Linked DNA regions of Coturnix japonica. The protein of the gene in region 1 interacts with the protein of each later gene in a pairwise test. Links are inferred from orthologs where the notes say so. Each region holds a gene or a part of one and is shown on either strand. Other genes may lie near its edges.

Region 1 (6,760 bases):
AAGTCCTCCTGTGTCCAAAGCAGCCTGGCCATTGCCATGTTACACATCTGCTCCCAACCACGTCCATTCTTGTGGAAGATGTAAAAATACGGATTTCTTAGCTCCTGTCTGGGTTAATGGCTGGGCTAGATGATCTTATAGGTCTTTTCAACCACTATGATTCTATGATACATGCCAGTTCTCTGTGGTGTGAGCTGCCTTCCAGATGTGTTTGTGTATCTCCCCATACAGCCTAACGCTGTGACTTGCTGCAAAGCACATGTTGCAGTTGGGGACCTCTCCCAGTTGGGCTGAATCCCTGGATGCAAAATGGTCCCTTTGCTGGAAGAAGGGATTTACTTGTCTTATTTCATTTCCCTTTTCTTTAGTAGCTCTTCCTGTGCCAACCTGAAGGTGACAGGTAAAAATCCTTATACTAGGCTCCTTATGAACAGAATTATCTACAGCTTCTTGTTGGCAGATGCTGGCACTATTTTGGAGTCTTCTCATGCAACTCATGGTATAAATAGCCACATGGAATCCATGTCCTCCAGCCCACTTTGGGTCAGGTCTGGCTTAGGAAATGGATAATGTGACGCACTGGGCTCCATGTGCCAGAAGTGCCTGCCCACTGAGTTAGCTGGCATTTGTGGGTTGCATTATTAATTGCAGAAGTCCTCTTTTAGCGGGTACAAAGCCTATGCCTCCTATCTGCTGTGGATACCCAGCTTGTTGTTACAAACACCCACGGGCCCTTCCTAAGTAGAAGGCATCCTCCCAGCTCTTGTTACTTATCAAGGTGACAAAAGCATGTTCCCACACTGGGATGGGACTAAGCTGAGGTTAACCCTCAGTGTCAGCAGGGTCCAAAGCTTCTAGAAGGTTGCAGTGCTGAACAGGGATGAATGATGGCAGGTTGCGTGGGCACAAAGACAACTGCTGAGTCTGAACTCAACAGGCAAAGCAGGTCTGGACATCAGGGAGAGCTCAAAGCAAAACTCCAGCATGTTCCCACAGCATTAACTGTGATCCAGAATGCCCTTGTTGATTTAGGCACTTCTTCATCTAAAATCCACCCCTGGGGATTTCTCTCCTCTCTCTGTGAAGCTGTTGGTTTGGATCCACAAAGGAAAACAACTTTAGCCATGAACCCGAGGACCTCCCATGCCCACCCGAGGGGCAGAGGTGCCAGAGAAGAGTTGGCCCCATTATGAAGCAGCACACCAAAGTGACCATGTCTCCCTCCACCTTCCAGGTTTCCCTGTCAGCACCTTGTCCATCTGGTTCATCACATACTGTGGAGTGCAGCTGATCAAAGAGCGTGAACGCATCCTGGCCATGGAAGAGGAGAAGAGTGAGAAACCCAAGGCAGAGTAGAGGAAGACATCAGTTGGTTTGCCCCAAAGCCTGGACTCCCTTCTGACTGCCTCTGCCAAGCCAGCTGCTGGAAAGGGCTCTCCAAGCGCTCTTGGCAATCAGACTGCTGTAACTCACCTATAGAGAAGTCATCTGGAAGGCACATGCCACCCCACACGTAGCAGACAGCTGAGATAGGCTTCCAAGACACATCCTTAAGGCTCCATCCTTTTTCTGACCCTTTGACACCATGCAGACCTAGAGATTTCACCCTCTGCTCCCCATAACACCCAATCCATCAGCATCTGGCTCTCCCACAGGACCTGCAGCCCAGGTCTCCCATCTCCAGGTCACTTCCAGCCAAAGCATCACATTTTTCTTTTGCTACAAGAAATGGCCATCACATACCGTAAATGGTTCAACATCTGGGGCTGTGCATTAAGGACTGTGAAATGGCTCAGCACAATGAACGCCTACCAAGAGGCTAATAAATAAATAGAACAGTCTTTTATAGCAAAGGGAAAGAGGTTGAGGAACTGCACAGGGAAGAGTAATTGTCTTCCCACTGCTGTCAGCAGTGCAGAGTGATGCCTGTTAGTATCTCAAAACAGGTCCCTTCAGTCCTAAGCATCTTGAGAAGTGATTTAGTGCCAGCCTCAGGTGTAGTCAGTGGCAGTACAGGAGGCATGCCTGCTTCACAGCCAGAGCACATCATGTACTGCTCGTCTGCAGGGTGGGCATGTGGAAGAAACAGCAAAGTTTCAACCAGACAAAGTTCAGCCCAGACCCAGCTCAGCCCCCACAAAGGACCCTTCGCTGTGGGTTGTGCGATGGATGTGGCCACCACAACCACCTCGCTGTGACACATGCCCAGGGACTCAAACCAAGTACCACCCAGCTTCTTTTGCATGCCATGGGCAAAGGTTTAAGCTCACATTCCTGCCTGTGGCTGAGGGCTCAGTAGCCAATTCTTGCCCATCTCCAGCCACCCAGCCAGACTTTGATGCACACAGCCTAGGCCTGTGCTACATGAACACACACACATGCATACAACCAAAGGAGAAAAGCACCAAATGAAGGGCAGCACTTTGGGGTTGGGTGGTGGAGGGGAAGTGCCTGGTAGCCTCCTTGGAGAAGTAGACTTTGGAGCACTGCATGGGAAGTGCATTGAATAAATGACCCCATGGTGCCTTGGGGAGGAGACGGGTCTATAACTGGAAATAGATCCATCTCTCTTGCACTTAACAGAAGCTTTCAGTGGCCTTATGTCTGAATGACGTCCATGTGTGGTGAGGGTAGAATCTGGACCACTTTGCAACACGGGTTGAGACTCTTGGTGTTCTGGTGACTTCCCAGTGGATGAAGCAGGAATGGTTTAACTTGTCAGCTTTCAGCTCTGCCAAAGTGATTTACAAAGTCCCCGATAAACATGATTTATTTATGTAGTAAAAAACTGTTGGACATCTATGGTGGCTACCATTCGTTAATGTTGTGTTGCTGTGATTCCAATGACCCCTGGGCGACGTGCTACCTTGGGAACTGGGAGATCCAGGGGTCTGTTTGCAATTTTGACATCTAAGGACTTCAAAAGAGACCCACTCGTCATTATCAGATTGAAGCCAGTGATGTGTGGCTGGAGCTTCATTTGTATTTTGAGTCTACTGCCGTGCTGGTATAATTTTACAAGCCTACTGCTGTAAAACTGTTGTCTGTGTGGATTTAGAGGTAGAAGTCATGTGGGTTTTCTTTTTGGGAGCCTGGCCACAGATGTTGGAAGGGCAGTAAGGTGTTGTGTTGGTTGCACCTCCAGTCACATCCATAGAACCCCTTCAGCTGCCAAGCACATCTTTTTGAAACAGAGGTCTGCTGCTGGACCTTTGGTAGGTGCCACTCAGCTGTGATATGTTGTGCCCTCTCCTAGTGTAAAATCCAGTTTTGCTCCCCTATGCAGGTGTCTGCAGACAGCTGGAACCTCCCTGAGCTGCAGGGTCCAAGGGCTCTATCCTTGTGGGCAGCCCCATGTGCACAGGAAGGGAAACAGAGTCACCACCTCCCAGTGTTGGAGAAGATGACTCACATGGCAAAGCCAATGACTCTGCACTGCCCTCCCAGCCTGGAGAGTCTGGGAGAGAAAATAACCCATTCACTAAGGATCTAAATTTACTCAGCAGCTACATCTAATGGAGCTGTCAGAGCTAATCTTAGGCACTGGTAGAGCTGTTACAGAACAGCTCGTGGGAGAACTTTGCCCACCTTTGCCTGAAGGTATCCCCTTGGTTATCACTGCTGTTAGAAGCCCAAAGGGATCCTATGTGCCAGGAGCACCAAAGCACTGCTATTACAGCCACATCTCATTGCTCAGCCTTATGTAGAAGACCCTCAGCTTCAGCATATACCACTGGGGAAAGTATCCAACCTTGTTATTGCCTGGCTGTGATAGCAAGGAAGGCAATTTTTACTACAACTACAAATCCAGATGAGTAGTTCAACTCTAGGCACCTTTTTCAACCTGACACAGCTATAATTCTTGCATTCACCTTTCTTGCTCTAAAAATCTGTACGGGAGAGAACAACCCCCCTACATTTCATCCCCTTAGGATGATTTACATACATTTTTACTCACCCTCATCCTGAGTGGGGTGACTGTTGCCCACTTGGAGACAACTGACTTAGTCCATTGGTCACTGGGTGCCACTCATTCATTGTAGTTCCATTAGACTAGGGTCAGCTGGCTGAGAGCTACTCATAACTGCCCAGCTCACAGGTGTGAGTGCTGCCACAGGCCTTCATGAGGATGGCATCAATCTTTGCCAGGGGTGGGAGGCACTGGGAACACATAAGGATATCTAGGATGAATTCATGATTTAAGTGAATGGGGAAAGATGGACCTCAGTGGAGTCCTCTCACCTCAGGCAACTGTCCAACTTGGAATCAACTCCCAAAAGCGAATCAACTCTCTGTGGCCATAGGGAGCCTCAAGAACAGTTCCAGGGTGGGAGAGACAAACCTTTGATGGTTAATCCAGGTCTTCTTTCACCAAACTCTGGAATGGGCTGACTTAATTACAGAGCAAAATGAAGGCTGGTAAAGGCCATCTCTGCCACATGGATTCAAAAATAGGGATGCTCCACACTTGGACAGGAGGTCTGAGTCTGGTTTCCCTGCCAAAGCAGGGAATGATGGTGAAAGCAATCAAAATCCAACTCTCAGATGACAGCAGACCTTGTCCTGAAGTAGTCATCCCATCCCAGGGATTTCCATCTCCCTGAATGGTGGCAAACTGATGACTTCTGCTGCCAGAGAAGCCTATGGCAGGGTGAAATCTGAAGGGGAGAAAAAGCCCATCTACAGTCAGTGCAAACTCTAACCAACTGCTTTTGAGCCCTGTTTGCTTGGAGATATCTCTGTTTTCCATCAGTCCATCATCAATCTCTAAAGTGATGAGACTCGCACACAAAGGTGGGTCAGAAGATTCCTGCACTCACGGAGCCATTGCTGCTGATGGCATTGAGCCCATCACTTATCTCCTGCCCTTGCCAGTGTGGGTTATTTACCTGAGCCAGAGCCAGTGCCTCTTTCCAATCACCCACATAGGCAAGAGACTAACATTAGTTTGTATTTTCTATAGGGGCTGCCATGTCGGGTAGATCTCACTGCATTTAGTGCTATTACCTTATGATGAGCAGTGAGAGCATCTCGTGATGTGAGGAACACGGAAGGAAATCTGGGATGGCAGCACCCACTGAGCAGCATGGTGAGAAGGAAAATAAATCAGGGCTCAGGGAAGATTAAAGGCAGGGCACGATAATTATAAACAACAGTGTGACCACATTGGAAAAGTGGAACAATAATGCAGAAGGAAGGAAGGGGAAGGATGGGTCAGTCCAGTCCCAGGAATCTGTGAGTAAATGAATATTGCTGATGGATGAGCCAGCTGAAAGATCAGTGCTCATCCTCCGGTCCTGTCTCTGAACTGATGATGTGAGCTGAAATCAGCACATGATTATAGCCCTGCTATATTACTGCCTGGGATGCTGCTGGAACATCACCAGTACGGCTTTATCTAGTGCCATCCCCTCCCTCATTACTCAGATAACCATCATGTCACAAAGCATACTTATCAACACACACATGCCAGAGCAAGGGGTTATGTGGCTTTAAATACACTAAGAAGAGTGCGGCTAATGGCTTTGCATAGATCTAATTAATTTGTTAATTAAATCTGTGCCATCTCTGAGTGTCAGAAAGCCCAAAGGGTCTATAATAACGGAGATAAAACAGACTCCTGTAGAAGTTTTACCATAATTATAAACAATCATAGTTACTCTGCTCACCTAGGTCTGCCCAAACCAATTTGCTTCCTTGAGAGCTCTGTGGGAACAGCTGGACCTGGAGCATCCAGCTGAGGCCCCATGAGGCTCTACAATGTCCATGGACATCCAAGCAGGATGCAGGACCTGGCAGAGCCCTTGGCTCTTCTGCATTGCACACTGAAGGCTGGCCAGGTTGTCCCACTTTGTCTCTAGGCTTCAGCTTGGGGGTTGAATCCCAGCAGACCTCAGCAGACCCCCAAACTCACAAGTAAATACCTGCTTTCAGGTGTCTCGGTCAGTGAGATGAAGCTCACTGTTGGGGTCTCTGAAGTTAGTTCTGCCTCAGATGTTTGTGCTTCATTCCCCATCCCCTTCCAGACCCTTGAAAACTGACTCCAGAGGAGAAGAAAGGACAAACCTGCACAGCCCTGGGGATGAGCTGGACTCAGGGATGCCACAACACATGGACTTCCCCTTCTTGCATCTTTCCATCTTTGATTCACGGCCTGTTTTTAGCACCACAAAAGATTTAGCAGTTTGGGAACGTTCTGTTTAGCAGCATCAGAGGTCTCATCCCTGCCATCCATGTCCCAAAAGGCAGATTACGGTGGTTGATTCATCTGGAGGACATTTCCCAAGTGTGGTGGAGGTGTCATAGGGTTGCACACGTCCTTCCATCAGAGGACGTGGTGACTCATCGGCTCAAAGATGGTTCCTGAAGCATCGAGGCTGAAGTACAGCTGTTCCTCCAGTCCCCTCCCTTCCCCCCTTGCCCAGTGTGTCATATTAAAGGGTGATCGGTTTACACATGCTCCAATATGGATTCCTTAAGCTTTGTAACGTAGTGGCTATATATAAAGCCCTGCGCTGGAAGCTGAAGTACACAGACAGCTGCGATAGTAGCGAGCATTTCACATTCCCAGAGTGCTGACGGGCTGGAAGCAAGGGAGACCTGCGAGCCCTGCTTTGAGAAAGTTTCCTTACCAAAGGCACACATAAAGATATATTCATAAACAGATTCAAAAGAAAGCTTAGGAAAAAATAGGAGTTCTTACTCTCCACCATGGGTTTGCCTTTTGATCAAGTGGAAGAACTGCGTCTCTACCAGCAAA
Region 2 (6,760 bases), about 27 Mb from region 1:
CACTTTGCTCCAGGAAGGGAGATCACTTTTGTTCACGCTTTCCACAAAGCTGCCCCCAGCATAGGGACACCTTTGCCAGTCCTGGGTTGTAGAGTAATGGGAACAAGTAGTCAATTGGCCACTGGTGTAAGGAGCCAAAAATGTGGTCAAGACCTCACATACTTATTAATGTCACCTCATTTCAGCTGTTCCTTTCTGATTTCCACAGTGTTTCAGAAATAGATCTGACTGTGATGAAGTTATTCTCCACATTCTTGAGGTCACAAGACGGGTTGGCAGGAACCTCAAGATAAGTTTAACAAGAAGAACAAAGTCCTGCACCTGGTAATGAAAAATCCCAAGTATCACTACTTGCTGGGGGTTATCCAGATGGAAAGCAGCTTTGCAGATGAAGGCCTGAGGGTCCTCATGGACCTCCTGTTGAACATAAGGCAAAGAAGGCCAATAGCTAATCTGAACAACATGAGAAAGAATGTTGACAGCAAGTCATCTCTCCTGGGAAGAAAGGCTGAGCTGGGACTGTTTAGCCTAGAGAACATTTGTGAGGAATCGCATCAGTGTATTCAAATACCTAAAGGGAATCTCTTTTCAAGTGGTGCCCAGCAACAGGACCAGAGGCAATGGGCACTAACTGAAAAACAGGAGATTCTGAGCATCAGGATACACTTTTACTGTGAACATGACTGAGTATTGGCACAGGCTGCCCAGACAGGTTCTGGAGATACAAATCAGTGTCCATGGTCTTGGACAGCCTGCTCTAGGTGACACTGCTTGAGCAGGATTTGGGCAGAGATCCCTGCCAACCTCAATCATGTTGTGATTCTGTGATCTTGTGACATCCATCTTTCTCTAATTCTTTCATCACATCAGCACAGAACAATCCCTGTAGCCTAGTAAGGGGGCAATAAAAAGAGGTCTTACAGACCTTAGTTCTCTCAAGCAGCTGTCTCCCAAAGAAACTCACTAACTTGCAGATACAGGCGGGAGATGATCGCATTGCAGAGATACAACCAACTTCTTGGCAGGCAATGACAGGTTTACATGCTGGGAGATCTCTTCTATGTGAGGATTCAGAGGGTACAAGTGATGATCTAAGATATTTTACCCCCAGCCAGCACACCCTCCACAAAAACAAATAATGAATGTCATTCCTGTGGTATCTTAAAATCACAACTCTAAATCTCGCATGGAATATTTGGAAGCAAATAATAGAGTTTTTCAACAGTTGAGTAATTAATGAAATGAAGGAAAAGATTCTTCTAAGCCTTTCCATACGTTCTGGTCTAGAAGCATGAGAAAGAAGCATTAAAAATATTATTTTTCGGAATATATTGAACTTGTGAACTCTGGGAATTACTGATAGAGCTATCACACTTGTACATAGCAAAGACATTAATGTGCAGTTCCCTTTAATGTGATGGCCAAGCCATCCACGTTAAAAACAAACCAGTGTTCCAAAACCATAATAAACCAATTACCAGCTCCACTGGCTTATAACACAACAGTCCATTTAATGGGTATTCAGAAAACCTATTTATGTATTATCACTTGCCAAAAGCCTTGCTTCCAGCTTTTTTTTCCCACCACTTTTTTCCATGGCAAGTAGGATCTCCAGCTAATTTTATCCTGCTTGGTGAAAGAAACAACAGAAGAAAAACACTCTCTTCAAACACATCCATTTATTTTGACCATAATTCAACTCAAACAAAAAACAGACTGAGAGAAAAGAAAAGGTCAGCAGAAGAAAGTAAAATAGATCAAAATCTATCACCATGTCTGTCAAGCACAGGTATGCAGAAACATCCAGCAAACCAACTAACCAGAACCCATAGTCCATTGGTTCCAGATCCAACTATTTTGAAAGACAGTGTGAAAGTCCCACAAAAGACATAAGCAAAGGGTGTTGTTGTCTCTGGGAATGGAAATAAGATGTCATAACTCATAGATGACCTGATGCCGTGCTGCTTGCCTCGTGTTAAGTGTTTTAGGCTCAGCCAGTTTAGGAAGAATTTAGTAACATCCTTACAGCTTCATTCAGTCCTTCCCAATTATATTCAGCATGGTCAAATTTTCTTAGTGAAATGTATTTTGGCTTGGTTTGTAGCTGTACTTACTACTTCATTCAGGATAGGTAAAACATATCATCAGCTACTTGTATCTCAGACCCCTGCTCCCAAGTATGCTGTGGCATCTCCTATCCCTTCATGCTTTAGGCACCCAGCTGCTAACATCACCAGCTGCCACACTGCAGGCATCACTTCAGAAGATCCCCAACATTCTCTCATAGTGATGTCAAACACTACTAGAACACAGACCAGAGCATACTCACACTGTGTCACACTGAACAAGAAGGTAGGCTTAGCCTGTGCTTTTGCTCTATGATTTCCATCTAACCTTTTCTTCTGGATACAGACAGACATGCTAGGGAAAAGAGGGACTGATCCTCTGCTTTGGAAGAAAATCTCTCTGGTGTTTGCTAAACACTTTATTTAAAGGATTATTACATTCAGAAGTTAATTTTTATACAGATATGGTTCTTCAGATTAGTTTTGCTGTATCTTCCTGCCTTCCTAACTGGTCTTCATAGCTTTTTGTAACCTGAAGGCTCATAGTGAGATGATTTATTGTCTTAGCTATGGACTTCTGAAAACTCTGAGGCTGAAATGTGAAGGATTGTGCTTCCTGCTTTGGAAAAGAAATAACCCTGGAAACTAGTGATTTCCTTTTGAGCTAACTTATGTAAATGATTTCCCCTGAATTAGGAAGGACTTGAGATTTTGGTCCTGACAGTAGGTAGCTCCACCTGGCTTATTATTCCATTATCTCCCTCCTAAAGCTATCCTTTTCCATCCAATGACAGTCTTCTAGCTTTGGTGGCCTCACTGAGCAATAAGACCCTTGGTTTCTCCTATGGAGGAGCTGAGCCAATTTTCCAAGCAGCAGAATAAGACAGAGAATCGTGTCCTTCCACACACATTAAACTATGTCTAGAGTGTGGTGTTTGTAGGTATAGAATAATAAATGTCTTGGGTTGGAAGAGACCCTAAATATTATCCATCTCCAACCCCCAGCCCACCCACCAGCTCAGGCTGCCCAGAGCCCCATCAACAGCTCTGAACATTTTTCTCTTCGCAAGGCAGTAGTACTTGAATTTGAATCATCTGCATGAGATCCCTGTAATGCTCATGTAGATACCACGCAACACTTTGGAAACTGACAACAAGACACACATTCATTGTGATTTTTTTTAAAAAGTAAGGCGTAGATACAAGAGAATGTTCTGGTGGCTCCTATTGGAGGAGGAGAAAGCAGTAGTTCTTCTTCATACACTTTATCTAAGATGTTGCTGGTGCCAGTGGTATCAACCAGAGCTTTAACAAGTAACAAGAAAAAGTCCCATTACTTTTCACTTGCACACCAAGTGTTGAAATACATACAAGTGACAGGAGCACTGAAGTACTTCCCCTCAGCACACAGGTAGAATGACAATTGTGACAACTAGCAAAAAATTCCTATGAGAAATTCTGAGGAAACAGTATCACCTTTTCCATAGTGGGACTGGAACTTTACATTGAATCCAAATGATCACAAGTGAGACATTCTGAGTGCAACTCCAAACATCCTTCGGCCATCACTTGGAAGTATTTTCTATCTCCTGCCCACCAGTAACACAAAGCAACTAACAAAGCATCTTTCTAATCTGCCTCTCAGTTCTGGTTTGTTCTATGACCTGGTAGAAATGACCAATAGCTGTAGTAAAAGCAACAGTCACTCCCAGTAACTAAGTCTACACAACCAAAATATGCAGAAATCGTGTATGTTCCTTATTTAGCACCTGTATGCACAGACATATTATTATGATTATTTAGCATCTTATCCCTCTGTCCTCCCCTACAACATCAGATATGAAAAATGATGTTGCATGACCTGCTCCACTACCACAGAGAAACGGGAGGAAACACACTCTTACCGAGAAACTTTGAGTCCAATGAGGTACTGGCTCCACTTCAAAGTCCTTCACCTCCAAGTGACTTTCAAGACAGGTAAGAACAAAATTTACATGGAAAAATGATTCCATTAGAAGCATTTAATATCCAACTGTTGTTACTAAAAAGTATTTTTCTAAGGGTTGTATTTTTCTGGCATATTCTTTTCTTTCCATTATAGCCTAATGCTATGGTCTGTCAGTTCTCCGGAAAACATGATTATAACTGAAAATATGTTATGTTGTGGTTTTAGGGTTCAAATATCTCTTGAAATAATTTTCATGAAGAATAAAAATGACATGTATATTGTATTTCCAATTTGGGGAAAAAAATGCCACCCAAAAAAAGGAGCATATTTCATAAACGAATCATCAATGTTTATCATGTTCTTCTTTGATCTAGTCCTGTTTTGAACCCTTTTTTTCTTAAATCACAGATTGACCTGGAATTACTGAGATAAACTTTAAGATTAAAATTTAATGACAGGAAGCCTGCAGTTTGCTTTGGTAGTTATTAACATGTAGTAAGAAAGTTTTTGGAACCAGTGCATTATTCTACTATTTTATGGGCTAGTTGAACTGTTAGCTGGGGGTCAGCATGCGGCAGAATGCCAAGAGCTTTTAAATGTCTGTCAGTCTGAATCTTCATGGTGCTCCGCACTAAAGGCAAAATTATTTTTTGGATCTACATTTCTATTTATTTTTTTTTTTTTTTGGATAGACAACAAATTCAAGGGTTGGATTCAAGTCTGTCACCGTTTTCTGACATGAGAGTTTCTCTCTGTTGTTAGAATATTTCATTCTGAGTTTTCATGTAACATACAGGGTTCTGTTTTAGTACTATTGCTGACTTATTCCACTATTTCTTGTGTTCTGAGAAAATTGGATTTCAGGTGCTTTTTAGCTTAGATTACCTCTATTATGATTCTAGAGACTGAGTACTGCATTATACTCCTGATGCATTTCTGGAGCACATCTTCCAGTTAATTCCATCCACAAGGAACCCACTTCATGTACTCCAAGCCAAAGCACTGCAAAATAGAGACTATTAAAAGATTCATGTCAGAAGTGCACTCCTGATGAAAATTAAAATGCCTGTGCCAATGGATCCTATGTACGCTCATACAGAATTGAGTCCTAATTCTGTCCCTCTAAGAAAACATTTTCCACAGATCTGGAAGCTGCTGGCAGCACATTTTCGGTGGTGTTTGCTTCGTGTCCTGATCAGATCAGTTACTGGCATCCTTCACAAGCTCACAATCTAAGACACTTTATTCATACACTTTGGTTTGAGCCTCATACAACAAAAAGAAATTTGAAGGCAAAAATGCAACTTTTCTAAAACAAAAAAGGTGCCTGCAAATAGATGTTCTGATACCAGAACATTTACTTATTTTTCTTTCTAGCTAGACAGTTATAAGTTGCCTGGCAGCATTCAGAATACAACTAGAATCATAGGTTTCAGTAACAGAAAACCTGTATTAAAACATTGGCTATACTTCTGAGATGCTGAATGAACAGTCCTTTGTTCACAGTATCTTCTTTAAAAGTCAGTCTATCTGAGGCTGCAATTGATTTTCTCTGGGCAGAGACACTGTTTCTCTGTGTCCTCAAAATCTTTAATATCACTGGATCAATATTAACTATAAATATTTCTTTATAAAAATGAGACTTGGAGACATTTTAAGCTTAACAGAGCCTTGTTTGGGCTGAATGAGCATCACATCAGGGATCTGTATGCAAAATGCTTCATCCTACTGCTTACATAAAATGGCTGTTATGCTAATTAGGTTAGCAGCCAACAGGAATGATTTATTAATGTTTCCAATGAGGGTGGTTTAATGAATACAAATACCACAGCCATACAGATGGGGCAGTGTCTGCCTGACTACTCTGAGAAAGTGGAAAGGAAGATTTAGGAAGAACTTGAGAAAGGGATGCTTAAGTTCCTTCAGAAAGTTTAGCTTTCTGATAATCCACTGACTACCAGCTTTTTATTTTGGCTCATCCTATAACACAAATGTATTGTCCCTTGCATAATGGCAAAACCACAGAATCATTAAGGTTGGAAAAGATGACTAAGGTCATCTGATCCAAACACCAACCCATCCCCACCATGCCCACTGACCATGCCCCTCTGCCACATCTAAACAGTTCTCAGACACCTCCAGGGACCATGATTCCACCACTTCCTTGGGCAGCCTGTTCCAGTGCAGTACAACTGTTTGTTTGTTTTGGTAGATATTTCTTTTTTCCTTCTTAAAAGTCTAAACACACAGCAAAAGTCAGGATTGGGTCAATTTCTCTTTATATTTTAAAACATGCAGACTTAGGGTTATTATTCTACCTTTGAATCAATATAAGACTAGTCACGCACTTAGGAGAAACTTTCACCTGAAAAACACGGTACGCCTGATTTCAGCCAGTACTCTCCAGGTATAGTTTAATCCAAACACTCTCCCCATCTGGCTCCAAAGTAATGATCACTATTCCCAAGAATTAATAACATCTCTGCATGTATCAGCTTCTTTCTTCCTCGTACTGATCAAAACATAATAGATTTGATTCAACCTTTGCTGACAGTTGCCAGTCATCACTGTACTTCTAGTGCCAGTTCATTACAATAGCGTCACCCAAAATAAGTCTGAGTAACTGAGTAATAAAACCACATTTTCATTGTTGGAGAAACCACCACCATTGCTGTTGTAAAAGGATTGTTTTGGGGTGTTCTTTCCTTCAGATATGAAGAGTTCGGGGAATCCTTTCAATGCTGCA

The links.
Region 2: the proteins of KLHL40 (region 1) and C2H7orf31 interact in a two-hybrid assay, tested with the Homo sapiens proteins (2 studies listed by BioGRID and IntAct). The two-hybrid records come from large-scale screens. The link is inferred for Coturnix japonica from reciprocal best matches to the Homo sapiens genes KLHL40 and SPMIP4.

The regions. Positions count from the first base shown.
Region 1 is NC_029517.1:1,781,284-1,788,043, reverse strand, and holds the start of KLHL40 (kelch-like protein 40), read left to right. Parts: upstream 1-3,027; 5' UTR 3,028-6,711; coding exon 6,712-6,760. Other genes in the region: HHATL (protein-cysteine N-palmitoyltransferase HHAT-like protein), read left to right, coding at 1,235-1,356. UniProt on the Homo sapiens protein: Substrate-specific adapter of a BCR (BTB-CUL3-RBX1) E3 ubiquitin ligase complex that acts as a key regulator of skeletal muscle development.
Region 2 is NC_029517.1:29,089,127-29,095,886, reverse strand, and holds the start of C2H7orf31 (uncharacterized protein C7orf31 homolog), read left to right. Parts: upstream 1-2,294; 5' UTR 2,295-2,352; intron 2,353-3,903; 5' UTR 3,904-3,912; coding exon 3,913-4,043; intron 4,044-6,725; coding exon 6,726-6,760. UniProt on the Homo sapiens protein: Microtubule inner protein (MIP) part of the dynein-decorated doublet microtubules (DMTs) in flagellum axoneme. May serve to reinforce and thus stabilize the microtubule structure in the sperm flagella.